Linked DNA regions of Schizosaccharomyces pombe. The protein of the gene in region 4 interacts with the protein of the main gene of each other region in a biochemical or structural test. Each region holds a gene or a part of one and is shown on either strand. Other genes may lie near its edges.

Region 1 (6,811 bases), on a different chromosome or scaffold from region 4:
CTGGTATGCGGAGGGCTGCACAAATAAAACTTCATTCTTTTCCTTCTTCCACCAATCGTCGCTTTTACGCATCATTGCAACCCCTTGGGCTTGCCGGCAAATACAAACGTCGCTGCCAATGCAAAAAACCTTTTTTTCGTCTCATCAGGCGCATATTTATGCTGAGGGTTTGGCCCTCCTGTCCCTCTCTTCCAACCTGCTTTTTTTCTCTAAAGGTTGCTCTTTTATACACATATCTGATTGCAAATTATTTGCTTTGTGTCGTACTTGTGAATGAGTGAGCTTTCTCTGCAAAAACTTTAATACCTTTACTTTTATCTTAATTTCTCCATCAAAAAACAATCCATACCGACAAATCGGCACTGCCTCCCCATCGTCTAATCTTACCTTACAAAAAATCCTTCACACATAATCAAGTGAAAAAAATCTCCCATCTTTTTTGGATCCCTTTTTTTTTCTTCTTCGAAAAAACTTTTGTCTGTTTCTTATAGACGCCTCTTGCCTTTTTTCTTGTTCTTGATTCCATCGTAATTTATTCTCTTTGATAGGATCGCTATACTTTTTTTTTCTCTTTTCTTATTTTTTTTTTTTTAAATTGTGCTATTTCATTTCTCTACAATTACTTCCTAACGTTTTTTAATTTCTTTTTCTTTTTTATCCTTTCATATCTTATCGCCTATTTCATCTATTGCGATCGCTAAAATTGCAAAGGTAAAATCATTCTACCACTTTCAACTTTATCTATTTATTTATTGACTCCCTCCTCCCAAAAAGTAATATTTGTGTCTTTTGTCGCATTACTCGACAACATTCTAATTGCTGACACTTTTTTTGACAACTGTTTTTTTTTTTAAATTTGCCTTTGTAAAACTTTCAAACTTTTACTCATCCTATCACTGATTATTTCCTAAAAAGGTTGTTTTATGCTCAAAAAGTTTGGTTCTTATTACCTCGTCTCCCTAACTATACCTATATTGTACGTTATTATCGTGTCCTTTACCTCACCGCCATTGGACTCGTGTTATCGTTTATACCAATAAAGCTAGTAACAACAACCTAGTGGATATATGCTGTGACTTAACGCTCGTCTTCTATTCTTATTTCCCTTGCCAAAAAAAATTTGTTTTTATGCATAAATTTTTTTTTTCTTTTGTAAATTATATTCTCTGTTACCTCTAATAATTTCTTTTCCCTAATTCTTCATTGCATGCATTCATTATCATGTCTACAACGCCATTGTCCATTTCTAGGGCAAAAAAATACAAAACAGTTTTCAAGGGTGCCGCCATTTTAACTACGTTTGCTGCCCTTTACATCGTTACCTCTCCTTCCACTGGCAAGAGGTTGGTGAAAAACGCCTCCATCAAAGGCCTTTACAATGTTTCGGGTAACGATTGTTTCCTCAATTGTGTTTTGCAATCCCTAGCAAGTCAAGAATCATTATTGGAAATCCTAAAACTCCGTTGTTCTTCCTCTACCTTATACGCTACCCTTTATGAACTTCTGCAAAAATTAAATAGTGGCCCCGGTAATCCAATCACTCCCGGTTCCTTCCTCAATTCATTAGAGATTGCCACTAATAAAAAACTTGTTCGTTCCATTCAACAAGATGCACAAGAGTTTCTACAACATCTAGTGGAAACTTTGGAACTTCAAAAACCTCACACTTACAAATGGTCGAAGGTACTCTCCTTTCCTGTAGATTCGCCATTCATAGGAACTATGGAGCAAAAGGTACAATGTTGTCAATGCCTTGCCATTAGTATTAGTTATTCTACTGCCACATCGATACAGCTTTGTCTACCTCCGGAGTACAGTGGAAATTCTAACGTTTCCTTGCTCTCTTTAATGGAAGCCGATCGCGAACAGCACATCTCTGACTATAAATGTGACTCTTGCTTCAAATCCTCCCCAAAACATTCCAAAACTTCATGCATTCGTACCGTTGATTGGAAAAATCCTCCTACGATTTTGCAAATTCAACTTGAGAGAACATCATATACCTGCCAAGGTTTAACCAGAAATAATGTTTCTATCTCATTTCCTAGCAAACTTATCCTAAAAAACAAACATCATTATATTTTACGATCCTTAATCACCCATTCCGGAAGTGTTACTTATGGTCATTATCTTTGCTATAGACTTCAAGATGACATTTGGTGGAAGGCTAATGATTCTTTAATTACTAAATCATCTCTCAATGAAGCTCTCAGTCAAACTCGTTCAGCTTGTCTTTTGTTTTACGAAATGGAATCTCCTCTTGCGCTTGATTAGCGCATATATGCTAGTTAATCGTATACGTTTTTGTACCTTAATAAAAAATTCTTGATATTTCTCCTAATGATTCCGACTGATGTCACCCTTTATAAACTGTTGAAAGCTTCAAATTATAACCTGTTGTTTTGTAGCTAAAGCATTCAATACTAATATTTTGCAAAACTTGTGTATGAAAATATATGTATGTATGTATCCACCGTATCTGTCCATAAAATCGGTTTTCTTGACTTTAAGATTTTCAAGTGGACGATTTTTTATAGGCATGGTTAAAGTACACATGGCACTTTCAAACCGTCGCCAAATGACTTATAATTTACTAAAAAAAATTTTAGATATACTCATCATGTACAATTCACAGTTTTTAATGCATCAAATATCCAAAATGTTATTATTGTCATGGGTTATCCATTTAACCCCAGGACCTTCTAATTTCTCGAATTAAGCATAAGGACCTGCATATTACACCATTTTTAAGCCATTTCTCAAATTTTAAAAGTTATAATTCCGTTTTTCTCTTTTCATAGTCTGAAAACTCTAAAACTTAGCGTGCTTCGAACTGAACCATTCTCTTGGTTCTCATTTTGTACATAACACGATGCCCACACTCTCGACAACGAATAACTTCTTTCGCTTGGATTGTATTACGCGCTCCGCAATCTGATGGTCAGTCTTTTATCATATACTCATTTAATTCTACTCAATGATCATACCCGCACATAAATAAATCATAGTGGCTGGTCTGGGGGGATTGAAAGCGGTACCGCCAGTGGAGGTTGGATGATTCATTTTGTAAACTTTTTTAGTGTATTTGAGTCTAGTTAAATCCTGTGATTTTACTTCCTCACTTGAACTTTCTAATTGTGGTGGTGAGTAGTAGCGCGCAAATTTTTACTACCATACTATTCTCAATATTAACGCTTCAAAAAAAATTGGGAAGCTAATCTTATAATACATTAATGAGTTAAAAGTTCTCATTTAAAGTACTTCAAGTACATTTCCATTTATTGGATATATAAACTTCAAATATAATTTCGTATCTAATTTTGACGTTCTTTTAAATTTAACCTTTATTAAATCTAGCAAAAGAATAAAGGGCTGGATACATAATTTTAAATTTAAATCGATAAATAACTAGATTGTTTAATTTATATTTCATAACAATTATGTGTACGTGTGAGGATAAATACAATAGCTCAAAAATAATGTATTCCCCGAGTTCTCCAATTTTTAGTGTATAAATATACGATTTCTTTGTCTTGAAATTAGTCCTGGTAATTAGTTATATAAAGCATTCAGAAACACTGTATGCATTAAAGGGTAATTCCAATTGAAATAAGTGCCTTTTTTTGCAGAACTTTTATCGAGTAATATTAATTTTCCTTTCATTTTAAAAAAATAGTTTTGACTTCTAACCGCTTTTAGAAATTTAGAGGTTCCAGTAATAGAGAAATCAAGTATGAAACAACTTTAACGTTTATACTATTTCCTAATAAGCGATACATACATTTTTCGGTTACATTAGACTTTGACCATTCGAGGCTTTCCGGGAATCCCATTAACCTGGCGACTTCTCTGGCGGTAAAATACCGAAGTTGTAAAGCCATCCGGTTCCTCTCAAATTGCTCGTGCGTATTTTCATGATCTGACATCTGCAAAATTGAGCCTGCACCTTGTACTAAATGTGTATATCCCCGTGTAAAGCAACAGCAGGAAGAGCTATCTGGCTTAACTATATCAAACTGATGGCCCCATTTATTTAACACAGACTCTAGTACCATATATGAAGACCAATCTCTTTCTATCTCCAAATAATCTCTTATTCTTTTTACTTCGCCTTCTTTTTGCGCTACCTCGCTAAATTGAAAAACATCATCAATACTCCATTCTCCTTTGAAATTGAGCCTAGCCAATCCATACCATCTACTGCGAGAATTAGGAATGTTGAACTGGTTTGGACTCAAAATACCTTCAATTAGGTTGTAACCACAATTCCTCAAAACTTTCCTGCACTCTTCAGCTGCCTTGCTCTCCTCAAAACCCTGAACATTCTCAATTAGAATGTACTCAGGCAAATTATTTACATGAGGAAGCACATTTAAAATATTTAGAAATGCTTGGGAACGAGGATCAAGAATATCTTTACGGTTTCCTATTCTAGTAAAAGGTTGACAACTGGGACTCATAGTCCATAATTTACAGTCAAATGCATCAAAATCCTTGGCCGTTAAAGTTGAAATATCCATCTATAAGTATTAATATAGTTATCGAGTAAATCCTTGAAACATACGTGTTTAGCAAGTTTTCCATGATTGAGGTTATAAATTTCATTTGCCTGTGGGTTGATATCTATTGCACACACAATATCAGCCGGTATATTTGCCAGGTTCAATGCATAGTGCATACCTCCAATACCAGAATATAGCTCCAGGACCCGTAATCTTTTTGTACTAAGCATTGAATGTAACCGAGCATGCAACACTCGGTAATCGTTTAGTGAGGGTTACAAAAGACCTACCTGCATTAGATTTTTTGCTTGGATTTGTTAAGCTTGAAAAGTCATGAGCATTTCGGGCCTTTTCAAAAACGATAAAATGTTTTTTAGTATTAAAAGTAATTAATATACAACATGATGACTTAAACAAAACTGTACGTCTTTTTGAAGCTAACTAAATGAGATCTTTTAAAAGTTTGTCCATTATTGTGAAACATAAATTCATTATGATTATATACAACCAAATCGCCTTTAAAACTAATTTTCCTTTTCCACTCTTTTACCGCTTATGTCGTTTTTGCGTCTTTTGCAATTCTTCTATATTTTCTGGCTTGAAATAATGGGGGCTTATTTCCAAGAGCCACTCGGGTTGTATTTCAGTAATTTGTCTGCAATACTCCTTAGTTGTCAAAACCAATTCAAAGTAAATGATGACTTTTGGCTTTTTCTCAGCTACAGAAGAACTAGGGTGAATATAAACGGTTTGATTACTTTTAACAGTGCGATAAGAATCCCCACTACGATCCAAGCGTGCAGCATTAGAAAAATAACCAGCTGTGATAGCTTTCTTAATAGGATCAAGGGACTCTGAAGAATTAGTTACCAATTCAATTTCCACCCGTTCACAGAGATTGGCAAGTTGATCACGAACATCTCGAGCTCGACATAAACTCTTATACTGTAAAAAGTTTTCACGGGCCCAATTGTACGAAAAGTCAGTATCTACCCATTCATTCCAAATATGAAGAAGAGTTAAATGATCACCACCAGGTTGGGTAAAGTTCGCTCTAGCTTTATCCGCTTCCATTATTTTGTCTTTTGGTCTATAGAATAAAGAGGAAGCCTCCCCTAACATAGAAACAATTGATAACACTTCTTCAACACATCCATACTTTGAAGATGCAATCAAAGATTTAGAAAGCATAGGATCTGTAGGAAACTCTGCCATCTGCCTGCCGAGCTTAGTCAATTCTCCTCTATTGTTTAAGGCACCAAGCGCATACAATAACTCTAATGAACGCATCAACGTTTCAGGTGGTGGAGCATCCATGAAGTCGAAATCTAAAAGATTATTAATTCCTAGGGATTTAAGCAAGAGAACAATATTTGTCAAATTTGTTCTTTGAATTTCAGGAGATGTTACCATATCCAGTTCATTGTTATATGTCCGACGCGTATATAAACGGAAGCACTTTCCAGGTCCTACTCGACCAGCACGGCCGGCACGCTGATCAGCAGAAGCACGGGAGCAAGGCACAGATACTAAGCTTTCCATACCAGTCCTTGGATTATACATGTTTTGTTTGACAAATCCAGAATCAATCACAAAATTCACTCCGTCAATTGTTATAGAAGTTTCAGCAATATTGGTTGCTAATACAACTTTGCGGGCACCAGGGGGTGTAGGATCAAAAATTTTAGCTTGCAATTCAGAAGGCAGATTGGCATAAATCGGACATAAAATTATTTCCGGAATTCTTTTTCCTAGTATCCGACAAAGTTCTTGCATGTTTTCGGACATTAATTCAATTTCATCTTGGCCCGTTAAAAAAACTAAAATATCACCAGCAGGCTGGGTAGTATGTATTTGAAGAATGGTTGTAATAGCCGCTTGTATATAATTTGCTTCAGGTTGCGGGGTGTAATAAATATCGACTGGATATCTTCTGCCAGGAACATAGAACACTGGAGCTTCATCAAAGTAAGCCGAAAATTTTTCGGCATCTATAGTAGCACTCGAAATTAGAACCTTTAAATCTGGACGAAATCTAGCAATATCCTTTACAAGTCCAAATAAAATGTCTGTATGAAGCGTTCTTTCATGGGCTTCATCTATAATAATGACAGAATAGCTTGCCAGGTCAGGTTCTGTTAAAAATTCTCTGAGAAGCATGCCATCAGTCAAGTATTTTATGACAGTTTTTTCAGAAGTAGCATTTTCAAAACGAATGCTGTACCCAACTTCCTGTCCAAGCCGTACATCCATTTCCTTGGCAACCCTAGCAGCAACAGACATTGCAGCAACTCTTCTTGGTTGGGTGC
Region 2 (7,401 bases), on a different chromosome or scaffold from region 4:
CTTGACAAGGTATTAGAAGATGCCGATGCAAAGGTCAAAGACGAGGAAAGTTCTGAGGAGGAGCTGATGAATGATGAGCAAATGCTTGCGCTGGATGAAAAGCTAGCTGAGGTATTTCGAGAGCGCAAAAAAGCATCGAATAAGGAGAAGAAAAAGAACGCCCAAGAAACTAAACAACAAATTGTTCAGTTTAAAGTTAAAGTTATCGATCTTATTGATAACTATTATAAGACTCAACCTAATAACGGACTTGGTTTTGAGTTTTTGATCCCACTTTTGGAAATGATTTTAAAGACGAAGCACAAAGTTTTGGAGGAAAAAGGGCAAGCGGTATTTCGTAATCGCCTTAGCAAGTTAAAATGGACAGAAGAGAAACCTTCATCAAAAAATGTACTGGAAGCACTGAAGAAAGTACATGTATTATGCGGAAAAAAGGCATCACTTGGTTCTACAGGCTCGTCAATTTCGCAACTTCTGTTGAAATTACTAGCTGATACCCCTTACCTGAAAGAAGGTGTTGAAGTTTACCTTAAAAGCTTCCTTCTTTGGATACAAGAGCCCTCGAAGAGTCATTATAATGCAAACATTTTTCATGATTTTATTAACTGGGGTGCTCAGCAACGCTTGAAGCATCAACAAACTTCGACGGCTGCTTCTTCTCCACAAAAGACTGGGCATCATGAAAATGAAAAGACAAATCATTGAATGCATACACATTAGGGAATTCAGGGAATAAAAGTCGGGTATAATAATTTTTGGTACACATTTTGTAGACGTTTGGGTACGTAGAAACAATTTCTTTACTAGGCTTGTTGTCCACATATAGTTGTAAATTGTTGCCGCACATGATAAAATGCCTGGGATCATCATTTACATAGGCAGCTAACCAAGTTTCATATAGTGAAGTAGGGCAGTGTGGCATATAAAGTAGAGTGTATTTTAAGCAGCTGGGTGTTGGTGGGTCTGGCAAAACACAAAACCCTTTATTTTCGAGAAATTCGACATCATCTTTGAGAAATGCTGGATCATAAAATGAACAAAATCTTGGTTGCAAATTAAATATTTTCATAATTTCAAAAAAGAGAGACAACTGTAAAGAAGCTGTTAAAGTGTGTATTCTACCAAGCCCAAGGATAATGCATTTGTGGATAGGATCTTTAAATTCTGATAATTGACTTTGGACACTTTTTAAAAATTCAGAGTACTCTAATTTTTCTCTAGAATTATCTAATTTACGCTGTAAAGTATCTTGTGACCATAAATCTGTATCACCTTGAGTAATGGTGTTTGAAACCTTAGGAAATTTTCCTCTTCCATTTTTTTTTTTACGAGACCGTTTAACAACAATAAAGTCCATGTTTAAATTATCAATAAAGAAATAAATACCTGAGTAAAAACTTAAAGTGCAGGAAGGCCCAACACTTTTACAATCCCGGTTCCAATTGCAGCGAAAAATTTTAGAAGGATATAATGAACATGGAAATGAATACACACAAAAAAAATAAAAAGGAAATTTGAGGAAAAAAGCAGGACTCAATAATTTCTCTTATTTTCAAAAAAAAAAATATTATCTCAAATTACTAAATCCCTTGATCCAAAAAGATGATAGTTGGTTTTGTTTACGTGAAATAGAGTTATTTTCATGCGTCTCGAAATATCAAACTACATATTCTTTAGATAATCAATATTTAATAAATTAAAAAGGTAACTTACTCAAAAAAAAAAGAACCGGTCTCTACAAACGAAATTGTAAATGCGAACAAAGAATTGGGCAGAGTAACTTGAAATTGTTAATTAAAGCTCGTATTGCAATAACGTACCGAATATTTAAATAAAGAAGTTTAAAAAAGTAAGCTAAGTTGCATTTAACGAAATCATATGTGATCTAACGAAACTATCCTTTATTGTTGAATGTAGCGATTTCTGCACGGATTATTAGAAATGATCCTCTCGTCTAATTCAATGAGGAGCGAATAAATTGTTATACTATTGCTACGTATTGATATACATCTTCACGACTGACTGTGGTCAACTAGTCATATTCACTCCTTGGATACATAATGTTGTAAAAACTATACTTGTTTCTTCTACCTATAAAGCTAGGCATAATCGTACATATTTCATCTATTAAGATGCTTTATGCAAAATCAAAGACAACAAGAACCTACCTGATAGCAAAGCGTTTTTTAAAAATCCAAGTTTGAAAGTTGCTGCTCTTGGAATTAAACCCAAAATGCGGTTAACTTAGAAATAGGAAAATTAAAATATCAATTACTATTTTTAACATTTAAATTATAGAACCTTTTTTGCTTCCCTTATCTCTAAGACTTTAAATTGTTCACTTTAAAACGAAGAGATTGAATTAAACCACCAAAAAATTAACATGTCATAATACGATGAAGAAAAGCTCTTTTTAAAAGGTGATTCGTTTTCCTTCTCTCCTTTCCTTTCCTTGGAAAAGCATGACAAAGATACCCACGATCATTATTTACCTTCTAAGTAATAGATAAACATGGTCTAATGACAAACGATACAATTTTCTATGAGAGCCCTCAATTGCCATCAATAAACCGCCAAAGCTTACATAAACAGATCTTTGTAATTAGGTTAATAAATAAATTAACAACTGCTTTTACACTTACACTTTCTCATCTTTAGCTTCTTCCACCCGATAGACTTTTCCATACATAATATAATCAGCAGCTTCCTTTAAATCAGGGCTATTCAAATTGCTTGTGATTTGCAAACTAAAGGTTGCATCCTTTTCTAAAGGATAAATTTGCGAATTAATGTCAAGAGTAAGATTCATGTCATTTTGGCCTGAGACAGCCGTAATTCGTGAAACTGGGTAAGGTTAGTAGTTTTCTTTCTCTTGTTTTGTTTTTTTTTTTAATTTCACAAACCTCTTTGATACTTTTGTTTATCAACTGAAGTGACTGTAAAAATCTCATCTAAAAGTACGGATTCCGACATTTTTAAAACTGGCGTTTCCCAAAAAACAATACAGAATTATTTCCCCAAGAAAAAGAGCGTAATAATGAGCAGTAATATTTACAAACAATAAAGCTTGGTACCTATCAAATTTTTAAATTCGTTCGTGAAAGGCTCAAGACACAAAATCGCCGGTCTAAAAAAAATCAACAATCTCTGCCTATATGATATTTCATTAAAATTTGCTATGTAATTTTGTGAATAACACATAAGGATACGCTACGCTATTTCTCATTATTTCATAAACATTAGAAAGAGCGTAAATTGTATTGGAAAGCTAACGTTCTTTACTTGAGCATCCTATTCATTGAATAATTCATCAATAGCTGTTATGCAAAAAGCTTTTTAAACGACAATTGCTATCAAGTTTGAAGAGAGCATAGCGAACATACTATTCAGGCTTATATTTCTACATTGAGCTTTATTTAAGGGATTTATTACAAGTTAAAGAATAATTATAAATTCTCATCACTTAAAAAATTCAGAGGTATACTTTATCTAGGTGGAATTGACGTTTCTGAACACCCTTTGGGATCTCAGGTTTACTGTACACCATAATAAATTGTTTTTAAGACCAAACCAGATATTCTGAATTTACAGTCGAAACTTTTATCTATTTCTCTGATGCAATTTGATGATATTATCACCAAAATTTTAAAAGTCGGTATTATAAGCATACTGTTCATCATTAATATGGCTAAGAACGCTGTTAATAGTCATTTTGGTATTCGAACCCCAAGATCTGTATGTCACGTACGCAATAGGGAAAATATATATTTATACTGGACAACTTTTGACGCTCATAAGTTACCGAATGGAGGAAATGCTGATATGGCACATTTCTCTGCTAACTGTTTACATGCTGGGCACACAGTAAAATTCGTATCAGCAGACAGGCTAGGCAGTACAACTTGGGAATGCAATATTAAATTTGGCATACTAAGCTTTCCCAATTTTGGAAAAGACGATGCAGCACAAAATTGTTTTGCTGAACCAAGTATGAAATCCATATCAGCAGATACTCAACACATTTCCGCTAGGGAATACATATCTGGAACGAGTAAGGGATTCAAAACAGCTACACCTAAACTCCTGAATATATAGTATTGACTTAAATTGTGTGAATTTTTGTTGGATCACTCGCTCACTGTCCCAATTGATACTTGGTGTTTATCATTTGTAGCTGCTTTAAGTCAAAATGAAAAACAGGTTTGCCATAAAGGTACTGTTACAAAACCTATAAAAAATTCAATGTCCCTAGATTATTGGGTTGTATTTAGCAACCAAAAGCTTGGCTAATAAATCACGACAAATATGAGTTTGTAATCCAAGGAACATTTTTGTCAACTTCAATGTGCTCAACATCTTTCGTACACTCTGTGTAGACAGTTTAAATAAAGGAAAGAGCGCCCAGACAATATGCCTTATCAGTATAATAAAATGAATAGAAAGCTGAAACAGTTTTTTTGGAATAGGATTTGTTATTGTGAAATTGAATCAACTTGCAGCAATCAAATTTAATCACTTGGCGCATAGAGGATCTTGATTATATTTTCTGTTCTAATTTAGGCTAATCTGTTATGAGCAAGGAACAATTTTTTTTTTGATCGGATACTCTCTAAAGCAATACATCCGTTTTGTCAGATGGATCGCATTGTCATCACAAGAACCAAAGTGAACAAGCTCTCAAGGCCAGCAGTCATGACTTCTTTTTTTTCAATTTCAAGACCTTTTATAGTGATAGAAAACTACGCCTAGATGGGAACTGATATCAATGTTTACACAATAAATATCTATTATCCCCCATATTCAAACGAATCATTAACTATTCTACAGACTCCGTAATTGGCATTGAATGAATTTATTGAAACGGGAAAAGATATTTTGTTGAAAAATGAGACCAAAATGTGCGAATGCAAAAATAAATGCATGAGAGAATTGATCCATATTACTTGAACCCCGATACTCCAGAAATTCGAAGCAAAAAACATATGAGGATGCACAGGAACCAGTGAAAAAAACTTCGGTAAGTCAATATTAAAGTAATAATTAAGATAATTCATTTAAATAAGTAAAATTGGAACTATAAGGTTTATCACAAAACACAAGTTGGAAAACAAATCAGGCAAGTCCTCTTCTGTCTCGCTTGTAAGACCAGTTATAAAAACATAAAACAAATAAGTTCCATGATATGATTTCTTCTCAAAAATTTTTAAGGATAAGAGAGAGAAGATAATATTGTAACCTTTTTGGAAAAAAATGTAAAGGAAAGTTATAAACATCGTACCATGGCAAATTAATTGTAACGCATTACTACTACATTGTTGCTAAATCCATGAGTAACCCAGTTAACTGATCGATCATAGAAAGATTGAAAACGTAAATTTGTTCATTAAAACTTTAGCTCACAAGAGTAATCAAGCTACTCATAAATCAACTTCAAGGCGGTGCAATTATAAGTTACACAGACGTATTGACCGATCGTTCCTTTCCAACTAAACTTTTAATTTGTTGGTATAACTTCTTGCTGCGATTTAATTTAAGTACCACATCCTTAACCTTTTCGAGGTATCGTTTCTGTGCGCCTGAATCGGAAGGAAGCTTTTCAAGAATGGGGTTTTTAGCACCCAATTTATGTAGTACCAATGCTCTCAATTCTACTCCTCTCAGTCCTAATGATTTAAGGCGTGAAGGCGTTGACTTTACAAGATACTCGTCAAGACCGCCTTCCTTGTCAATGGTCCGCAAAACTCGGGACGTGACATACAAATGAAACTTTTCTTCTAAAACATTTGAATACAACCATTTAGAATGACCGTTTGGTATCCATACACGGCGCGTTTTATGTCCAAACTTGGGGATTTTGTTGTTACCAGCTTCGGTTTTCGACCCACCATATAAATTTTGTTGAAACTTGCTAAAAGGATCATATATCTTTCCTTTTACAGGTAGAGTTGGGTATGCCAACTTTCTAAGCAATTTACTTGCCATTATTAAAAAATTGCGTTGTCAATACCAAAAGTGGTCTTGGTAAACGAGTTATGTTTCTGCAGGAAAACGCTATCCGAATTTTTGTTGACCCATATTAATTTAGCAGGAGAAAAAAAAAAGTTTATATATATTTGTCCAAAAAATATTTAAAATTGTCGGTGTTTACCATTATCTACCTAGTATCTATTTGCATCGTTTGCTTCGACCAAAATGGGATTTTCGAGCTAACCATACGTTCAGAAATTCGTAAATCGATAAAAAAAATAGTTTGTAAATCTTGAAAGTGTAATCTATATTGAGATTGTAATGCAATTTTCATGGGACCATCCAACTCAACAAGTGCACCTTGCCGTAATCTGATTTGAAATTGAATTAAATCAATGTTTTTCTCATAGTTTTTAAATTTAATTCCACTATTCCAAAGAAAGAATTGATATGATATGAACAAGCGCCAATCTCAACTTAAATTTGGCAATGAAGGGATCTCATTAGCGGTTCCTAAGCAATCCTTACAAGAATGCTCCTATATGTCCAATTTAATTACAGATAGAGAATCAACATTTTTATCTTACTTTGTCCCGTCTAAAGATCCAAAAATGCTCCCAGTATATAGATTTATGTTTCAAGAATCTGCCGACTTAAAGCATTGCAATCATAAAATGCAAGCTTGGCGTTTTCCCAATGAGATAGAGGCTTTTAATGATGACGGGGAAGAATACTCAGGACAAAAGCTTCTAAACGTGTTGCGAAAAGAAGATGTCTATGGAATGGTCGTTTGCGTCCGATGGTATGGAGGACAATTGCTGGGTCCTGTTCGCTTTCAGCATATCACCATACAGCCAAACAGTCAATTGATAAATACAAATCAGTACTAGAGGAAGAAAGAAAAAAGCAACTCCTGAGGACGGAGACAGGTCTACTCCGCCAAAGTTCGTCAAGATCAAGTTCACTGTTGGATCAGAGAATACGACAAATTACCGCTAAAGACAAAACTGTTAATCTTTTAAGGAAAACTCTAAATAGACCCTTACTTCATGAAGTTGACTATCACGGAAAAAGTCTTGAAATTCTTGATATGTTGTTGCAGAGCAGAAACAGTATGATATCTTCTTTGCGATCCGAACTACAGGAAAAGAATCAAAAAGATAAAAAAAAAGAAGTAAATAAATTAGAAGAGAAAATGACTAATGCTAAAGAACCTAATGTGAATGTCCCTTCTATGAAAGCGTCATCAGCTATTTCCGTTGAGACGCCTGAGACAATTGAATCAGAAGCTTCAGTGGACCACAAGGAAGCATCAAAGATCATAAAAGATGTAGAAAAAGAAGAATAATTGATTGCCAACCGATCTATCTAGATGTTTTCCAAAAACGGAACAGATTTTTGGTACTCAATAGATGGCTATATGCAGCTTAACTA
Region 3 (7,252 bases), on a different chromosome or scaffold from region 4:
TGGTGACTTTAAAAACAGAAAATTCAGATTGGACATCTAAATTCTTCCAACTGACTTTAAAAATGTTTACGTTGATATCGTTATCAGTATGCGTATGTAGGAGAATATATCCATATATGACTTTATTCTTTTAGGGAAACAACAAGAGCTGCGCATACTGCTAATATAGTTAAATTTCAAGCGTTCATTATTGCCATTAAATAGGTTACCGCTAAGCATGGGAATAAAAAGCACCTAATGTGCTACTATAAAGCGAAGGATGATTAATTCATACCTTGTCCTCCATAGCAAAACATGTTACATTTGCAAAGTCTTTTCTGAGAAGGAACATTGCCGTATTTAGGAACAATATAAATAAATCTTACAATCATAGCATTATTATAGTCTAAGGCTCCGGTATCGTTATGAAGAACATGTCACAAAACCTGTATGCCATACATTCATCCTAAATTCACAAATTACAGTGTCCATTACCTAGATATTATATCAAATAGCGACATTATCAGCATACAACACCACGCTATGATGCGTAACTTACTGCAGTGTAATGTATTAATTATTGCTTACCAAAGGCGTTAAGTAACTTAAAACATCTATTTATGAGCAACATAAACGAGTTAAGCATGTACATGAGCTGATAAAGCATAATCATTGAATTATCCCATTGTATTTATTAGAATTGAGGATTAGATTCGCATAACGTTTTTCGGTTGCTCTTTTAAACAAAAGGAAAGCAAACTATTCATGCAATGTCTCAATTGCTATTCTTGAGGCGCTTTTTCTTCCTTTTTTGTTTCATCATTAGGATTAGTTGTACAGGAGTATTTGAAAGTGTTATCAAATCTTCGGAAAATGTGCCTGATAAGGTTAATGTCAAATTACAGCATGTATTTCATTACGGACTCAATGAGGACAGTATATCATATTATCGACTAGATGTGGCCAAGAAAAGTGTTTACGCAGAGAGTGAATCAAAATTGCCGTTGAAAATGAAGAAAGGATATTCCGTTCACTTGAAGGATCAGTCTCGCGATGCGTTGACTGATTATAGATATAAGTCTATGAAAGGAATTTATTCTGAAGCGAATTCACCAGCTGATTTATGGGAACAGGAAGCAATCGTGATTCCTGATATTACTGATAAAGAAACGATTTACTCCCTTGGAAAGATGAGCTACAATGCTTACCAAAAAATTCCTTTCGACGGGGACTGGTTAGATTTAGGACCTGATTGGAATATAACTCCACCTGAAGGATTTGGTTGGGAGGAAGATGGTCTACGTGGACATGTTTTTTCCAATGATGACAATTCCACTATAATTATTGCGATGAAAGGTACGTCCATCTTCGGAATCGGACGCGGTACCTCGCAGAAGGATCGCGTTAATGACAATTTACTTTTTTCCTGTTGTTGCGCTCGTGTCAGCTGGGCTTGGTCTACGGTTTGTGGTTGCTATAAAAATACATACACCTGTAGTCAAACTTGCCTTGAGGATGAAGTGCAAGATGACTCAAGGTATTATTCTGCATCATTGGATATTTTTTATAGTGTTAAAGAATTATACCCTGATGCACAGATTTGGCTGACTGGACACTCATTAGGTGGCGCTACTGCCGCTTTAATGGGACTTTCTTTTGGAATTCCAACAGTCACTTTTGAAGCACCTGGTGATCGAATGGCTGCCCGACGTCTTCATCTTCCAATGCCTCCAGGATTACCGGACGAAGAAAGTTTAGTATGGCATTTTGGTCACAATGCTGATCCAATATATTTGGGCAAATGCACAGGTCCAACTTCATTATGCTGGGCCGGAGGTTATGCGATGGAATCAACTTGTCATACAGGACAGGAATGTTTATATGATGTTGTAAAGGACAAAGGGTGGCATCTTTCTATTACCCACCATCGTATGCAAACTGTTTTGAATGATGTTATAGATGCATACGAAAAATTACCAGATTGCTCACACACACCGAATTGTGTTGATTGTTACTTGTGGGAGTTTCCTGATGATGATAGTTGAAAGGAGTGGCTGTCCTTTGCTTCAACTTCTGATAATGTCCTTAAAACTTTAACGAACGCCAAACTTTTCAACCTTCACACTTTATTAGATTCGAGTATGCCTATTTTCTAGTATACCTATAATAAAACTTATTTTTAGCTTGCTTAAAATAAGTACCAGCAAGAAGAAGATGCTTTAGTCTTCGGTTTAAACAGTCGTTTGTGCTATGATAACTTAATGAAATATTGATACAAAGCAGTACTGACTATAAACTATCTACTTTTGGTAATAAAAAGTAAACGTGAATGCCAACCCTTGATGTTTTATTGAATAAATCACTAATAAAGTATTGTTCTAAAAACTATCTAATCCAAAAATTTAAGCTCATTGTAATAGCTATAGACATTGCTTTATTCGATTTGAATTTTAAATTATTATGTTCAAATTGAAATTTTTTAAGAAAAAGAAAGAGATGGTAGTTTTGAAGCGATATTTCTAGCCCACATGTACCAATTAAAATTATGCACAAATTCTGTAGCTATTATAACGGCCACTAGTTTCACTTCTTCTGACAATCTTCACAACTTCTCCCCTTTTTAAACCAAGATAACGAGCAACAGGATCAGCTAGTTGAATACGGGGTAATTGAGTTTCACGTAACTTGTAGCGGTCTAAAAGTTCTTTTTTCTCATCCGGTGAAAGAAGAATATGTTTAGGAACAAGCTCATGATGAGTAATGTTGACAATCAAATCGCTTTCTTGGAAAGTCTCAATGGTAAACTGGCCGGTGACAGTAGCAATGATTTTAGCGGCACTTGGGGTCATGGAATTGGCATAAATTAGAATACCAGTTTTATGATTATGATCACCTAAAGTATGAACAAAAGTTCTCATTTCTTTAATACCAACGGAGGGCTCTTTTGCAAATTCGATATAGATTGTGCCTTTATTTGAATCATTGGAAGGTTTTGCGTAAAAACTCAAAGTTGTACGACTAAACGCATTAGCAAAACAGTTTTTAAAAAAAAATTGATAAAGGAAGTTTAGAAGAAGCATGTTCATCAATTAGAAAGCAGATTAAGAGTAAACCGATTTATAAATACCGGCGTCTATGGACATATACGCAGATATCAACAGAATTTGCTTCTATAATCAATCGGATTGTTTAATCCATTATCACGATGGATTTAAATAAATGTACATACTCTAAATTACGACCCATGCCACAATGCATGGCCTTGAATTGATCCAACGTCAAATCTAATTCAGCTTGAGAAACGCCGTAACCCTAAGTTATAATAGTTGTTAATAATTCTAATATGTTTGAAGAAAAAAGATTATCAAATACATACCCTGTCATGGACTAATTGATGAGCTGTCTTCCAAGCACGAAACACCCTAACAATGTTTTTTTCTTCCGCAGACATTATGAAAAATTAATAAGAAACAAAAATAGAAAAACTGAGTTAAAAAATGAGAATTGATCTTCTAAAAGAGATGTTCCCAAAAAGAGGGAGTTACGGCAGAGCAGTGTGCAGAAGATAGCAAGAAAATTTTGGTGGTGAGTTCTAATAATTATTAAAGTATTCGTTAAGCATGTATAATGCGGTCAAATAGTGTAACAACGATTGGATTATTCTATTAAAAAAAAGGTAATTAGGAATTCAGGTTTGAGAATGTAATATCTAAATACTTAATTTGAACCTTGAACTATAGGAGGGATGACCTTGTTCCATTCATCATCCCAACGATATTCAGATTCCTTGAGAGCACCCAGTTTCAATGAATTTAATTCATTAGCATGAGTTAATAAATACTAAAACAGTTAGTTATCGTACGAAAAAGCCAATAAATTATGTAGGAATCGCTATTCAAGGTTTTTTTTGTAAAAAAATCTTTTTTCATACCTGCATTTTTTTCGATAGAGCTTTTGAATCGTTAACGATCAACCCGTTTTCGCCATCATGTACCAATTCAGAAATCGTTGGATAAGAAAGCGCAATAACAGGGACACCACAGCCAAACAAATCTACAACTTTCATAGGCAAGTCAAGTCCACTTGAACTAGTATGCAAGCATACACCAAGATCTGCGCAGGCCATAACCTGCGGATAATCTTCAATACTGAGCCAAGGCATGCAAAAACGAACTTTGTGTAATGGATGCTTCTTAATGTACTGAGAAAATTCTTCCTTCATCGGGCCTTTTCCAGTTATCAGCACCAAAAGCTTGGGCGTATCTAAAGTTTTGTCGTACTCATTAAGAGCCTCCCATAAAATGTAAATATCCTCGTCTGGTGTCCAAGAGGTAGAAGTAATTAAGAGCTTCGTAGAAGAAGGATTGTACTCACAAGGTATTTTTTTGATAGACATTTGCTTTTTCTGTTCATTTTTAATGGGAGTAAAGTGGTTGGGGGGTCTATCATAACATACATAGCAAGGACTTGAAAATGTTAGAGTTGAGCAAAAAGCAAATTTATACTTACTTCATTCCCCAAGTTTGTAAAACATCTTTCATCCGTTTAGAGACAGTCAAATGAGCATATGCTCCTCGGGCCATGTATTTCTCATAAATTTTAAGTAATTTAACAAAGGTATGCTGCTTCCCTAATTTCAACGCAAGTATTGAATATCCAAAGTTATGCCAATCTATGATAAATTTTGTACCACGTAGTATATGAAGACATTGAGCAATGAAGAAAACAGGGATGCAAGGAGGATTTTGAATGAACAGGAATGAAGCAGGTTTTCGAACAAAAAGAGCCCAGTTCAGTGCAAGAAATTGATGTAAAACCTTCAATGGTCCCAAAAACAAAAACTGAAGGCGGTTCTTAGGTTGAAGATACGCAGGAAGTGAAGGAATGGGATAAAAACGAATGTTTTCATGACTTTCGAAAAGTCCTACAGATGACCCGGGGTCTACGACAGTGTTAGTGACAACAAATACACCTAATGTGGTATAGATTAAAATATTCAAATATTTTAGATAACTTACGCTGATAGCCTAACAAATCAACCTTCCATCCAAGTTTAGCGAAGCTAACGGCATGATATTGCATTCTAGGGCTTCTTGCAATATCTCCTAGGACGAGAACAATAATTCTTTTCTTATCCGTCCTCTTTTTTAAATTAAACCATATCACCAAAGATAAAAATAAAACTATCTTCAATACTAGCATTTTGTACACAAACTCACGGTTACTGATCGAATTTCGAAACTTCCGCTTAAGAAAACTAGTTATTAAATACTGTTAGACATATAAAAAGCGAATATCTTCTTAAAACAACTTTCTATAGGTAGGTGTACAGCGCTGATGGTTTACGTAAATATTATTGTGCCCATAATACACTATTAAACAGCAACCTACCCAATATGTCGAAACTCGAAATAACATGCATTTAAAATACAAAGGAAAAGGAATAGAAGCATGATTGTACTCTTAAAGAAAAAAAAAAAATTTTATTTCAAGTATTGAAGTAAAAGAACACTAGACGCAGAAATAATGTAATAAGCAAATAAATTTAAGTAGTAAGATTCGTATCACATACTTAAACATTCCATACTTCAAGCTTGGGAATAGAAAATGCAAAAGACATGACCTGCATGCCGATAAACTTGAATAAAACTCAAATGTAATAGTTGCGTCAATTTACAAAAATGGTAAGACGACGAGTGAAGGGCTAGTATCATGAATAACAGATAGAAACTTATAATAACAGGATGTAATAAGTTAAAAACAAAGTCGTTAGGAAAACAAAAATTGAGGATTTGCGTTCCTATCGTGACAAACCACTTGTGTGGAAACACCAAAGGTGGATGAATGTTTTTTTTCTATCGATAATAAGTTTAAAATAATCAGAATGAAAATGTTAGAAGAAAAGAGAATGAAGAAACTTCAAGTATACAATTTTAACAGATTATACACGCCATAAAATGAATCATAAAAATGCTAACTCTAAAAAAGAGTAAAGGTAGTAAGCAAAATGCCTAAAATCTTACCAAAACGAGGATAAGCGCAACGAGGCAAAAGAAGGCGAGCCACATCCAAATTGAAATTCCTCCATTCTTCGAAACATTCTTTAATCGAGTCATTGTCCCGCTCAAAAGTGACTTGGTCGAGTCAAATGAGTCGTTCATTGACTCCATCAACTTAGTAGAAGACGTTATCTCAGTCCCAATATTCATAGTAAGCTATTAAAATTAGTTAGCATGTTTTTCCTGATGATGGCAAAAATCTTACCTCTTTCAAAGACTTGACTTTTCCAGTTAACTTTGAAATCCGTTCATCATTTTCATTTTCCAAGGAGTCTAAATGCTGAGGAGATTGAGACTCATACAAGGGCAACATATCGCCATTGCGTTCTTTTCTTCTACCGAATCTAATGATTAGTTAGACATTGATTGATCAGATTTAGTACATACCTTGATCCCATTCTGAAGCTTTTTTTAAAATCTTTCCCTTTACCGAATATGAAAAGTATTTGGTGTAGCGCAACTTCCAAATCCTAAGATCTCTTTGTTATGTATTGGTTTTGTGCGCAAAGTCAGCTCATCAAATAACATGCGACGCAACTCAGGAGTTGCGTGTAGAGGTAACACATTGTTGTACTAAGTGACAAATCTCATTTTGCTCTGTTTTTACATTAATCTAAACAATTTTTTTTTTACCGCAGACGAAACAGAGATGATAGTTATGGGTTTAGTAAAAATAAGTATAGATCCCTTCTTGAGCCTGTAGAATATTGAATTTGAGCATCAATTTTGAATGATTTTTCTTTGTGGTGCTGATCCATAATGTGTTACTGGGGCAACTGTAATGTAAACAAATCAACGTGCTTTGTTTACATTTGTAGAAGTGAAATACCGGTGGTTAAAATACCACAGAAAGCAATAGATATGATAATATGGCAAATCGATGGATATTTTTCTTTGCTACAGCCGAAATTAAATAGTATGTAAAACTTGATGATCCAGCGGTCAACTCCAACAGAGCTAATATTTTTTACGCTACTTGCCCATAATACAGTGTGAAAAATAGCGATCTATTTAATCGATGAAATTTATCATTTATTAATGAATTATTTCTTATGCAATTGATATTATATCTTTTATTGCAAAGGTAGGCAATAAAGACTGGTTTAGAGCCACGCAAATGATAGTGTAAAAAAAGAAACATGCTCCTTGTGTATATTACTTCTAGCAATGGAGGTACAAACTTTTCAGTTTTGAATAAAAACGGAATGTAAGAA
Region 4 (9,965 bases):
CTAGTGATTTGTTTTTTGTACAATATTTAACAACTTTCAGCAAAAACATGATCTTCCGTTGCTTGCAATCTAAGTGAAGCTCAATTCCCCGAATCGGGATTTTGTACGACAATATCTTAACTTGAAATCATGAGGAATCAACACTGTAGAAGTAAAATAACTGTTTAATAACAGTGCGATCTTACCTTTATCCTATACTATTTTTCCTATTTTCTTTTTGCATCTGCGTTTATTGAGTGAAGTGAAAGAGGTATTTATTCTACTTAATAACATGAATTTGAACTGACAGAGATCCAATATATAACAAACAAGATTCCTATACTCGTTTAAAAAGGATTTGAATAAACTGTTTTTAGGATACTGTTCTATTTACTTATTTATTTTCAGGCAAAAAAATAGTGCCGCGTGAAAGACCCTCTTTTGCTTTTCCCGATTGAATACATTATACAATTAAAATCCTTTTTTGCTAAAAGATTGAATTTAACCAGCGATTGATTGTTTTTATACGTTCGAGAGTTTCATCTCCGTTTTTATTAACTTGCAAGATCATTCACAAGACGAAAAATCCTTGATCGAATAACATTACTTTTTGCTTATTAAGTTGAACTGTTCAGATTTATAGATGACTAGCCTTGACTGTTCAATTGCACTTAAACAAGCAATCACTTTAATTCACTTCGATCGTTTCGGTATAAGACGCACTTCAAATCCTAAGGGTAGTCGACTCTATTAAATTTATAAATTTGTTAGCATAAATATAACATTATTCTGAATTGCCCTAATAGCGAGTCATGTATTCTCTTATACCAATTCCAACGCCTAAATCCTCTTAGTTCTCTTTCGTTATAATCGTTGTTCCTCTTTTCAATTTCTGAATATTATAAGCGCATGATTCACGAAATTTCATAGATTTTGTAGAGGACTTTTACACAGTGTCTTCTCCTCTATTCAGGTCTGCAACTTTCTAGCTAACATACACACCCTTTTCATCTAAACGAATGCCTTTTATTTTTAACATTTTTAAATCAAACCAAGGAGACTAGATAAATAAAATAAAAAAAAAAGAAATCAAGATCTTAACTAGATTGCAGTTTATGTTCGACGAAACTTTGGCCATTTTAAGAATTTGCCTAAGAGCTTAGGAAAAAAATAAATCTTATCCTAAAACAAAATACTTTTATCGGTTTGTCCGCAGTTAAATATAACTTCCTAATTCCTATTTCCAGTCTTTTATTTACATTTAACCATATAACGTTTTCCAACGCATCCGTTATATTTTTCATCTAATTTAGATGAATTTTCCAACTTTCACAAGTTGTCTTCTTCCAGCAGCTTTACGTTGTTGAATTAATTGGTTCTTTTGTTTTCTTTCTTCGCTTACAGAAAAATTTGGAATTGCTTGTCTTTCTGGAAATAGATCGGTTCAAGTTTAAGGGATTTTTTTGGTTTGCTATTGAATTTGCACTTATTCGAGTATAGACTTGTCAATAAGATGAAGGTAATTTGATTTTTTTTGTTCTAACAAGGAGACCCAACCTATGGAAAATAAATAGTAGTATTGGGATATATTGACGAGTTTAGGATTGGGTCTTTCCTTTGTTGTATTGCTTTTAACTGTAAAAGTCGCCGTTTCTAGGGCTATGAAGCTTAAAATTAATACATGATACTAATACTATTTTAGATTTATCCTGACTTGAAACAAGTTCAAGAGCTTGCTGAAAAGCACAAGGCTAACAAGATTCCCATTTATGGAGTAATCCCTGCCGATATGCTGACTCCTTCAGTAGCCTACTTGAAGCTTAATCAAGGAAAGAAGTATTCGTTTATTTTAGAAAGTGTCACTCAAGGAGAGAGTGTCTCAAGATACAGTTTTATTGGCAGCCCTTATAGAATATTAATGGCCAATGGAAAAACAGATCCTTTGGCACGTTTAGAACGTGAGTTGAAAGAAGTTAAAACAGCCCCTGTTGAGGGTCTGCCATCTTTCAGTGGAGGTGCTGTGGGCTATGTTTCTTATGATTGCATCAAATATTTTGAACCCACTACTGAAATGCCTTTAGAAGATACCTTGGGTCTTCCGGAGGCTATGTTTTTCATGACCGACGATTTAGTCGCTTTCGATCATGCTTATCAGACTGTCAAGATAATTTCTCATGTTTGCATTCAGCAAGGCCGACCCATTGAAGAGGCTTACGAAGCTGCCGTTTTCAAAATCAATATGCTTAAAAAGAAACTTGAAAGTCCTGAAATTCCTTTGCCTGAGCAAAAGAAGGTCCATTTAGGATACGAAGCTAAGTCAAATGTAGGCGAAGACGGGTATAAAGCATTTGTTTCCAACCTCAAGGAACATATCTTTAATGGCGATATTTTCCAAGCTGTCCCAAGCCAACGGATTGCTAGGCGTACAGATTTACATCCTTTTAATTTGTACCGCCATTTAAGAACAGTTAACCCGTCCCCTTATATGTTCTACATCCACTGTGATGATTTCGACATAATCGGTGCTTCCCCTGAATTACTGGTTAAATCAGAGCATGGGCGTATTATCAATCATCCCATTGCCGGAACTGTTCCAAGAGGAAAAACTAAAGAAGAGGATGAGGCATATGCCAAGGATTTACTTGCTAGTGTCAAGGATAGAGCTGAACATGTAATGCTGGTGGACTTGGCAAGAAACGATGTCAGTCGTGTCTGTGATCTCGACACAACAAGTGTTGACAAGTTGATGACTATTGAAAAGTTTTCTCATGTTCAGCATCTTGTTTCTCAAGTTTCTGGTGTTCTGAGACCTGATAAAACTCGTTTTGATGCATTCCGTAGTATATTTCCGGCTGGAACGGTCAGTGGGTCTCCCAAAGTCCGTGCAATTCAGCTCGTTTATGGATTAGAGAAAGAAAAGCGTGGTATATACGCGGGAGCCGTAGGTCGTTGGGGCTATGAAGATGACAACATGGATACTTGTATAGCAATCCGTACAATGGTTTATAAAGACGGAACTGTTTATTTGCAAGCCGGTGGTGGTATTGTGTTTGATTCAGATGAACAAGATGAGTACGTGGAAACTTTAAACAAACTACGTTCAAATGTTACTGCAATTGAGGAAACCGAAAAATTATACGCTGAAGAAGAAAACTCTTCAGCATAAAAGTAAAGGAGACGCTTTCGGTTCTCGTTGTACATGTTATTTTAAAGTGTTGAGGTTTTTAAAAACTTTTTTGTTGTCTTTATTTTTGGTAAACGAATAAAACATCGTTATAAAAAATTGTATTCTGTAATCTCGTTGTCCACTTGTAGCAACTTTGTCTATTCATTGTGAGCATGGTGAGCCGATATAAACTTTCCAACAAAGAGTTCAAGAGGCAATCACCGAAAATTAAAAAGATATCAAAACGACAATTCCGAAAGTGTTCTCTTTCACGAAATTATCTAAAGCTATAATAAATCCAAGTGAAGAAGAACAAAATTATGATATGAGGGAGGAATATATATCTCTATATATGCATATCAATACGTACAATATGTTGTAGCCAAAAGCCAAAAAAAAAAGGATTAGATAAAAATGTGTAAGGTATGACATGAACGGACGCAGGCCATAAATTAAAAACTTTTAGATGATTAAAAAAACGCATCTAGAGTATTTTTTATAACAACAAACATATAAAGGATGAAAATGGATAATTTTTAGAAAAGAATTGAAGCATAGTCTACCACGTGTTTTCTTCACCATTTTGATAGGGAGACCAGTTCATTTCTGCATTCTCCTCCATATTCAGTTCGTTAGCAGAAAGTTGAGTAGGCTGCTCTTCGTCGAGATCACGAACTAAAACTGCAAGCTTTTCCTGAAGAATTCGTAAACCTTGAACCATTATTTCATTGGGTGGTATAGAACCGACACTTTCGACATCCATATAAAACCGACGCGGTTCCTCTTGGAAGTTGAATGGTTCGCCTTCCCGCGGTGGTTCTTCCCAATCGGCATTTTTGCTTTTTGGCCACTCTGCATCTGCATCATTCTCAAACCAGTAATCAGTATGCTGTAACTTGTTCCATGGATCGTATTCAAATGCAACAGCTGAAGTAGGTGACCACTTAGCATGTTCTTTAGCTATACCCTTCTTGGCAATGCAACGCAGAGAAATTTCCTGCTCTTTTCTGAGTTTGCAAATAAGCGGTCCGCGTGATTTTGGATCGGCGAGAATAGGGTGTCCAAGAGAAGAGTTAGAAGAAACAACAAGATCTCTAGCATAAATTTCCATCGTACCCTCACCAGTACATTTGGCATTTAGGAACAACTCGACTGAACACTTGGGACAATACTGATCGCAATCGCAATTGCGCGTATATTCCAAACCTACTGGAGGCGGTTCATCGATGTTGGAGCTATCCAGAGGTATCATACCAAGACGATGTGCTAGAAACTCATCAGGCATGACTGAGGTATTCACATTAATTTCAACTAGGTCAATGGCTAAAACATCATTAGTATTTAATTCAAGAATGAACCTAAATCTTACCCACTGTTGGAATCTCTGCAAGTACAACACGTCGCAGCGAGTTTGCAACTCTTTCAACTATTAGAAGGAATTTCCTAGAGCTTTTCACTTACGCCAAACTTGTATTTGTAAGGACAAAATCCACCGAGTTTTTACTTATATTTCGTATCGTAATATGCGTTTCTGAATCCATAATGAGAATGTGTCGTTTGGTCTATGCTTGTTGCAGAATTTCATACTCATTTCTCCCATTCCGCACTGTTAGGTGATCCCTTATTTAGCATAAGGACACACTAAACTACGTTAAATGCGAGATCAAGGAACTCGCTTTTAAAGAGAGCAAGCAACAATTGACAAGAGAGTACGAATCTACGGCATTAGGCTTAATTCATTAATATTTATATTCTCTGTTCATCCCGACAGAATATTTGAATAAAAACATATTGTTTCAAACTCTTTCATTTTTGTTTGGCTGATTATTACTACAACTTTACATTTTCGCCATGTCTAGCATAGGCGGTAAATTACAAAAATCTTTGCACAAGATTCGTGCTGGAGCTTTAGGGATTCCTTTACCAAAACATATTCAGGAAGTATCTATTCAATATTCTTTAGACAGCCGTTTGGGACATATGGGTGCTAAGTAAGTTTTGTTTATTCGTGTTAGAATCATCGATGTTGTCTATGTACTGGTACCTCAAACATTTTATGCTCAATTCATGTTTAATTCTCTCAAATAACTGCTTGATAATACTTTGTGTGAGGAAGCACTGATCTACGATTCCGTTTCATGCGTTGTTCATTGCTAACGTTTTAAATTCTAGAAAATTTGTAAAAGAATGTCTTCCTTCATTGTATTACAACAATTACGGCTTGAAGTTTAACGTTAATCACCGTTTACCGAACGATCAAACTCCAACATTTTCCATTATCTCAAACAACAAAGTAATCTATTCGTACGACATGCGGTCAAAACAGCTGGAAACAATTTCTTCCGATATTCAAAAAGCGCTTAAAGAACTTCATCACGAGTCATCCCCGGAAAACATTAAGGAAGCGCACAAACAAGATTATTCACCTCCTTCTAATTAAGCAAAAACGCTTTTAAAATTACTTTTTTTCAGTGAACAAAATATGCATCTTTTTTTTTTCTAAAAAACCTTTAGTTTTGCTGCAGTCCGTTTACTGTATTCCTTTGTTTGATGATCCATAAACCTACAATTCCCTATTTTCTTTTTTATTTAAAAAAGTTGTTTGAGTGAAAAAGAATGCTATCTTGAATACGAGCTTTAGTCTAAAAAATACATCGGCTTGCATTAAGATTTTTCTATCCTTGAACGAGAGCGTAAATGCCGTAAAATAAAAGAACAAAGAATGACCGAAATATTCTAACTTGGTATAAATCATATTTGTTGATTGAGTTCTTTGAAAAAGTTTTTGTACATGATTATGAGGGAATGAACTAATGATCGTTTGGTATGACAAAATAGCGTTTCTCCTCTTACTTGATCGTATTTTTCCTAAAGAAATAAAATTTCTGCCAACTTTGTTTATATCCATAATGCAAAATTCCTGCTGCAGTTTATTAGATATTGAGGTTTTTTTTCGGTCAGTGGAGGAAAGTGAACAAATTTGATTGTAGAGTTTAAAAATGGTTGAAATTGTGATCATATCAAATAGCCAACCATCTAAATTACGAAGTACAATATCTTTTTTACAATATCCTCTTACCAAACTCTTCGGGTTTCTGTTAACGATGAGCATGTACTTGTAAACGATTCAAAGTTTAACTGAACAGAAGATGTTATCTAACTTTATCTTATTAAGAGAAATTGTACAAAAAAAAACAGAGTGTTTAAGTTGATGTTTGAAAAGTTTAAAACAATACTCAAAAGTGCGCATTCGATGCTTTGTTACCAGATTAAATAGTAGAACATAAAATTATAGGAATCCATATTTAGTTAGTTATGAATGTTCTTAACTATCAAGCTATGAATAATAGAAAATTTAAAGGAAATACATTCTGTTTTAATTCAAGGTCTTGCTAGTATTTACATAAATAGTGCATACCAAAGTACTGTTCAATGCTAAAAGCTCCAAAAAAAACATAAGCTAGTTCATGTTTACTTTCTATATAATAAAATTTTTTACTTAACAATAGTGGCCGTTTGGTCTAGTGGTATGATACCATCTTAGGGTGATGGTGGTCGTGGGTTCGATTCCCACAACAGCCCAATTTTTTGCCAGTCGAATAACAATAGAAAGTTAGATGAAAAATGGCCCTTAATGTGATCGTGATATTTGTTTCTTTTTGAGTTGGGTCCAACTTGGAATTTTAAATGAGACGTACTATATACACTGTCAAAGGTCATTCATTACTCGGTTTTTAATCATCTTGCTTCGATGCCTTCTACTGCCTTATGCACACATATCTGGATCATACAACAAATTGCCGCATCCCCTATCAGCGGTGGTACGTTCCCTCTTCTTATTTTCTTCATGTAATTCAAAACCACAAACCACCATATTTAGCTTGGAAAATAGTTTAAACACTTCGCTCGTTTTATATTCATTGATTAGCTTTTTCGACTTTTATTCAAATAACAGAACGCACAATGCTGTTTTAACGATGCTAATAAATAAACATTAAAAGATTGATAAGAATTCCAAAGCCTGGATCGCTAAGCATTTCTAGACAATTCTCAATCACAACCATAACGATACCCTGCGGTGCCTTATTTTTGTTAGTTATTCGACTTCCGGTAAATAAACAGGTACAATTAGAACCAGAAACTGCCAATTTTGGAAGATGGTTAGATCACGAGTTTCTCCTGGATTGAAATTACAATCCGATGCATCAAACCAAAGCAATGATAAAGAGAACAAGTTACTGGCCTACGTAAATGATAATAGACATTTTTCACTCATTAGGTATGATTTACGTATTCTTGTTTACACCATTGCGAAAGGACTTTGCAAAAGGATTCATTACTTGAAATACTAACTAGAGGATTGTAGAGCCCTCCACCTTGCAGACTTGATTACTTTAATGAACGGGTTTTGCGGTGTCATGAGTATATTTTCAAGTTTACGTTACTGCCTAAGCGGACAGCAATCAGCTTTCCATTTATGGAATGCAATGTACTTTATGCCATTTGCGTTGTTTTTTGACTTTTTGGATGGTAAAGTGGCTCGTTGGCGTGGGAAATCTTCCTTAATGGGTCAGGAATTGGATAGTCTTGCTGATCTGGTATGTATAACTTCTCAAATCTGTTCCGAGACTATTTTCACATTGGTTGCTTTGACATGATAAAAACACGAGGAACATGATAAGAGGCTTCTTTGGTTGAATTTTTTCTTCATTTTAGCTAAGTCGAGCTTTTTTTTTTTGCTTCTCGTTTTTTACATTATGTCGGTTTGTTCAATGAGTCTGAATTTTTCTCAATAAACATGCGATTGCGTATAATTCTTGATTATATATATTTTTTCTCTCTCTTATCCGGTCTTTTTATATCATTATACTAACAAAATAGATTTCATTTGGCGTATCTCCAGCCGTCTTTGCCTTTTGTTGTGGATTCCAAACGTTCCTTGATACCGTTATACTTTCCCTTTTTGTTTTGTGTGGTCTAACTAGATTGGCTCGTTTTAATGTTTCTGTCAATTCCATTCCTAAAGATGGATCTGGCAAGTCTCAGTTTTTCGAAGGAACGCCCATTCCTACCACCCTCTCCTTAGTAACCGTTTGCGGAGTTTGTATCTTAAAGGGAAAGACTCATGAAAATCTACCTTGGGGTGAGTGGTGTGGAAACACACCTTTTGCATTTCACCCGCTTGTGGTTTTGTTTGTGTTGAGTGGAATTGCTATGACTAGTAAGAAACTCAAAGTTCCAAAAAGTACGTTTCTATTACATTCGCTCAAATATGTTTAGAATGCTCTTTTTTTTTATTTTGTTTATATTAACTGATCGATTTTTTAGTTTGATCAACTGATGCTTTTATTCAATAGAATCCAAATGAAACTTTACAGTACAGCGATCTGGGTATACACAGTTTTTTTCACTTTTTGCTTTTGATGTTACTCGCATGCGAAGCCTTTTCCTCTCTTAAATTTATAATCCTTACTGAATCTCTTCTCATATCCTGTTTTTCCTTTTTTCTTCCATTTCGAAGATAAGTCTGTCCTTCACCTATTCGACTTAACCATTTTTAACGTAAATGCACTCATCATTGTTCATTCCTTCCCCCTTTTCCAAATATGTATTTCCGTCCTTTTAACAATTAGAAGCTGTTTTTCAACTTACCAGTTTTCTATTGCTCTCTTTATGAAAAACTTATGAAATTGAATTATTTCAAGTGATTGTACCCTCAACGGTAAAATATAGTAAAATTCCTTTAATTATTATTTCTTATATAGTCATCATGATGAGCAACCAAAAATAAAATTCTTTATAAAAAAGAAACTTTCCCAAAATGATGGTGAAAAGTAATTTTTCCTTCTAAATAAATAATGTTTTGTAAATATACACTATGAGGATTTAAAATCTCCTCGTCAAAAACTAATGAAGACCCTGTTTATTATTTTTTACAACAGCCACAACCGGATCAACCATTCCTTGGTTTTCAGAACCAAGTCCCTTCCCCCGAGACCAACCCATCATTTCTAAAAGTTGTTTTCCTTTGCCATTATTTATAGCGGGAGCGCTAGAACCAACAACATGACCGTCCATACGCTTTTTTGTATTGGTTGACACACTTCCTTCCTGTATTTGCACGCGTTTCCTTTTTTTCAAACCTTTAGGAGTCATTTCAACAAGTTTGGATTTTCTTTTCTTTGACAATTTCACGTCAGTTTGAAGTGCAAAATGACGATCATACTCAATCATGCTCAACGAAGTCTCTTCTTCCGCAATGTGGCTCATATAATCTAGTTCCACTTCTTTTCTCCTTTCACCAAACAGCATTTCATATTTTTCTAAAGCATCCTCATTGCTCAAGTGCTTCGATGGCTTCTTTTTTGGTTGAACAATCTTTGGCTTCCTTGGAGGAGGTTTTGGAGATGCCTCTACATTTTCCCATTGAGAAGATGTAATAAAAGAACCGTCTTCCACAATAATTGCCATTGTATTAATAAATGTTCGAAAATTCAGCAAATTTACAAAAACCAGCCTGAGTTGGCATTGGTGCTATAAAGAATGCACAACCCAAGAAACTTAAATTTTATGAGATCAAGGATAATAATAGGGATTTATTAAAATCAAGCCTGACTATTCCACAAATTCGCTCTCAATTATAAAAGTTTTGTTCGTGCAGTATAGCTTGCTACTATAAACCAAGTGTGACTTGGTTGATGAATAATTGTTACTTTGGGTAAGTAAATACTATCGCAGTGGTTTTGATCAATTATTAGCAATACCCTGATAGAAAGGCTCAAATATAATTTTGCATGTTAAAAATACTAGAATTCTTCAA

What was found.
Region 1: the proteins of rpb3 (region 4) and rpc10 form a complex in vitro, tested with the Schizosaccharomyces pombe proteins (2 studies listed by BioGRID).
Region 2: the proteins of rpb3 (region 4) and rpb8 form a complex in vitro, tested with the Schizosaccharomyces pombe proteins (2 studies listed by BioGRID).
Region 3: the proteins of rpb3 (region 4) and rpb5 form a complex in vitro, tested with the Schizosaccharomyces pombe proteins (3 studies listed by BioGRID).

Annotation. Positions count from the first base shown.
Region 1 is NC_003423.3:1,671,987-1,678,797, reverse strand, and holds rpc10 (DNA-directed RNA polymerase subunit Rpc10), read right to left. Parts: upstream 3,160-6,811; 5' UTR 3,064-3,159; coding exon 2,988-3,063; exon of another isoform or gene 2,935-2,987; coding exon 2,819-2,934; 3' UTR 2,610-2,818; downstream 1-2,609. Other genes in the region: ubiquitin hydrolase Ubp11, read left to right, coding at 1,222-2,274; pmt1 (DNA methyltransferase), read right to left, coding at 3,696-4,520, 4,565-4,732; ATP-dependent RNA helicase Cdc28, read right to left, coding at 5,049-6,811. UniProt on the Schizosaccharomyces pombe protein: DNA-dependent RNA polymerase catalyzes the transcription of DNA into RNA using the four ribonucleoside triphosphates as substrates.
Region 2 is NC_003423.3:2,219,344-2,226,744, reverse strand, and holds rpb8 (DNA-directed RNA polymerase subunit Rpb8), read right to left. Parts: upstream 3,100-7,401; 5' UTR 2,974-3,099; coding exon 2,904-2,973; intron 2,845-2,903; coding exon 2,643-2,844; intron 2,595-2,642; coding exon 2,489-2,594; 3' UTR 2,025-2,488; downstream 1-2,024. Other genes in the region: rRNA processing protein Pol5, read left to right, coding at 1-705; SRR1 family protein, DNA-repair associated protein, Srr1, conflicting annotations across species, read right to left, coding at 602-1,357; SPOM_SPBC14C8.11C (uncharacterized protein), read left to right, coding at 3,616-4,095; mrpl24 (mitochondrial 54S ribosomal protein bL28m), read right to left, coding at 5,452-5,982. UniProt on the Schizosaccharomyces pombe protein: DNA-dependent RNA polymerase catalyzes the transcription of DNA into RNA using the four ribonucleoside triphosphates as substrates.
Region 3 is NC_003424.3:1,050,913-1,058,164, reverse strand, and holds rpb5 (DNA-directed RNA polymerase subunit Rpb5), read right to left. Parts: upstream 3,547-7,252; 5' UTR 3,431-3,546; coding exon 3,356-3,430; exon of another isoform or gene 3,292-3,355; coding exon 3,209-3,291; exon of another isoform or gene 3,118-3,208; intron 2,998-3,117; coding exon 2,523-2,997; 3' UTR 2,259-2,522; downstream 1-2,258. Other genes in the region: autophagy-associated lipase Atg15, read left to right, coding at 750-2,024; mannosyltransferase complex subunit Alg1, read right to left, coding at 3,697-3,819, 3,911-4,445, 4,489-4,921, 4,998-5,181; SNARE protein Bet1, read right to left, coding at 5,991-6,194, 6,244-6,382, 6,426-6,436. UniProt on the Schizosaccharomyces pombe protein: DNA-dependent RNA polymerase catalyzes the transcription of DNA into RNA using the four ribonucleoside triphosphates as substrates.
Region 4 is NC_003421.2:1,782,294-1,792,258, forward strand, and holds rpb3 (DNA-directed RNA polymerase II complex subunit Rpb3), read right to left. Parts: upstream 4,706-9,965; 5' UTR 4,687-4,705; coding exon 4,607-4,686; exon of another isoform or gene 4,565-4,606; coding exon 4,515-4,564; exon of another isoform or gene 4,469-4,514; coding exon 3,705-4,468; 3' UTR 3,146-3,704; coding exon of another isoform or gene 1,682-3,145; 3' UTR 1,499-1,681; coding exon of another isoform or gene 1,493-1,498; 3' UTR 604-1,492; downstream 1-603. Other genes in the region: trp3 (anthranilate synthase component I), read left to right, coding at 1,493-1,498, 1,682-3,145; mrp49 (mitochondrial 54S ribosomal protein mL61), read left to right, coding at 4,997-5,136, 5,318-5,585; SPOM_SPCC1442.11C (uncharacterized protein), read right to left, coding at 5,709-6,257; CDP-diacylglycerol-serine O-phosphatidyltransferase Pps1, read left to right, coding at 7,303-7,424, 7,512-7,743, 8,027-8,390, 8,474-8,478; sqs2 (G-patch type RNA-binding protein), read right to left, coding at 9,053-9,616. UniProt on the Schizosaccharomyces pombe protein: DNA-dependent RNA polymerase catalyzes the transcription of DNA into RNA using the four ribonucleoside triphosphates as substrates. Component of RNA polymerase II which synthesizes mRNA precursors and many functional non-coding RNAs.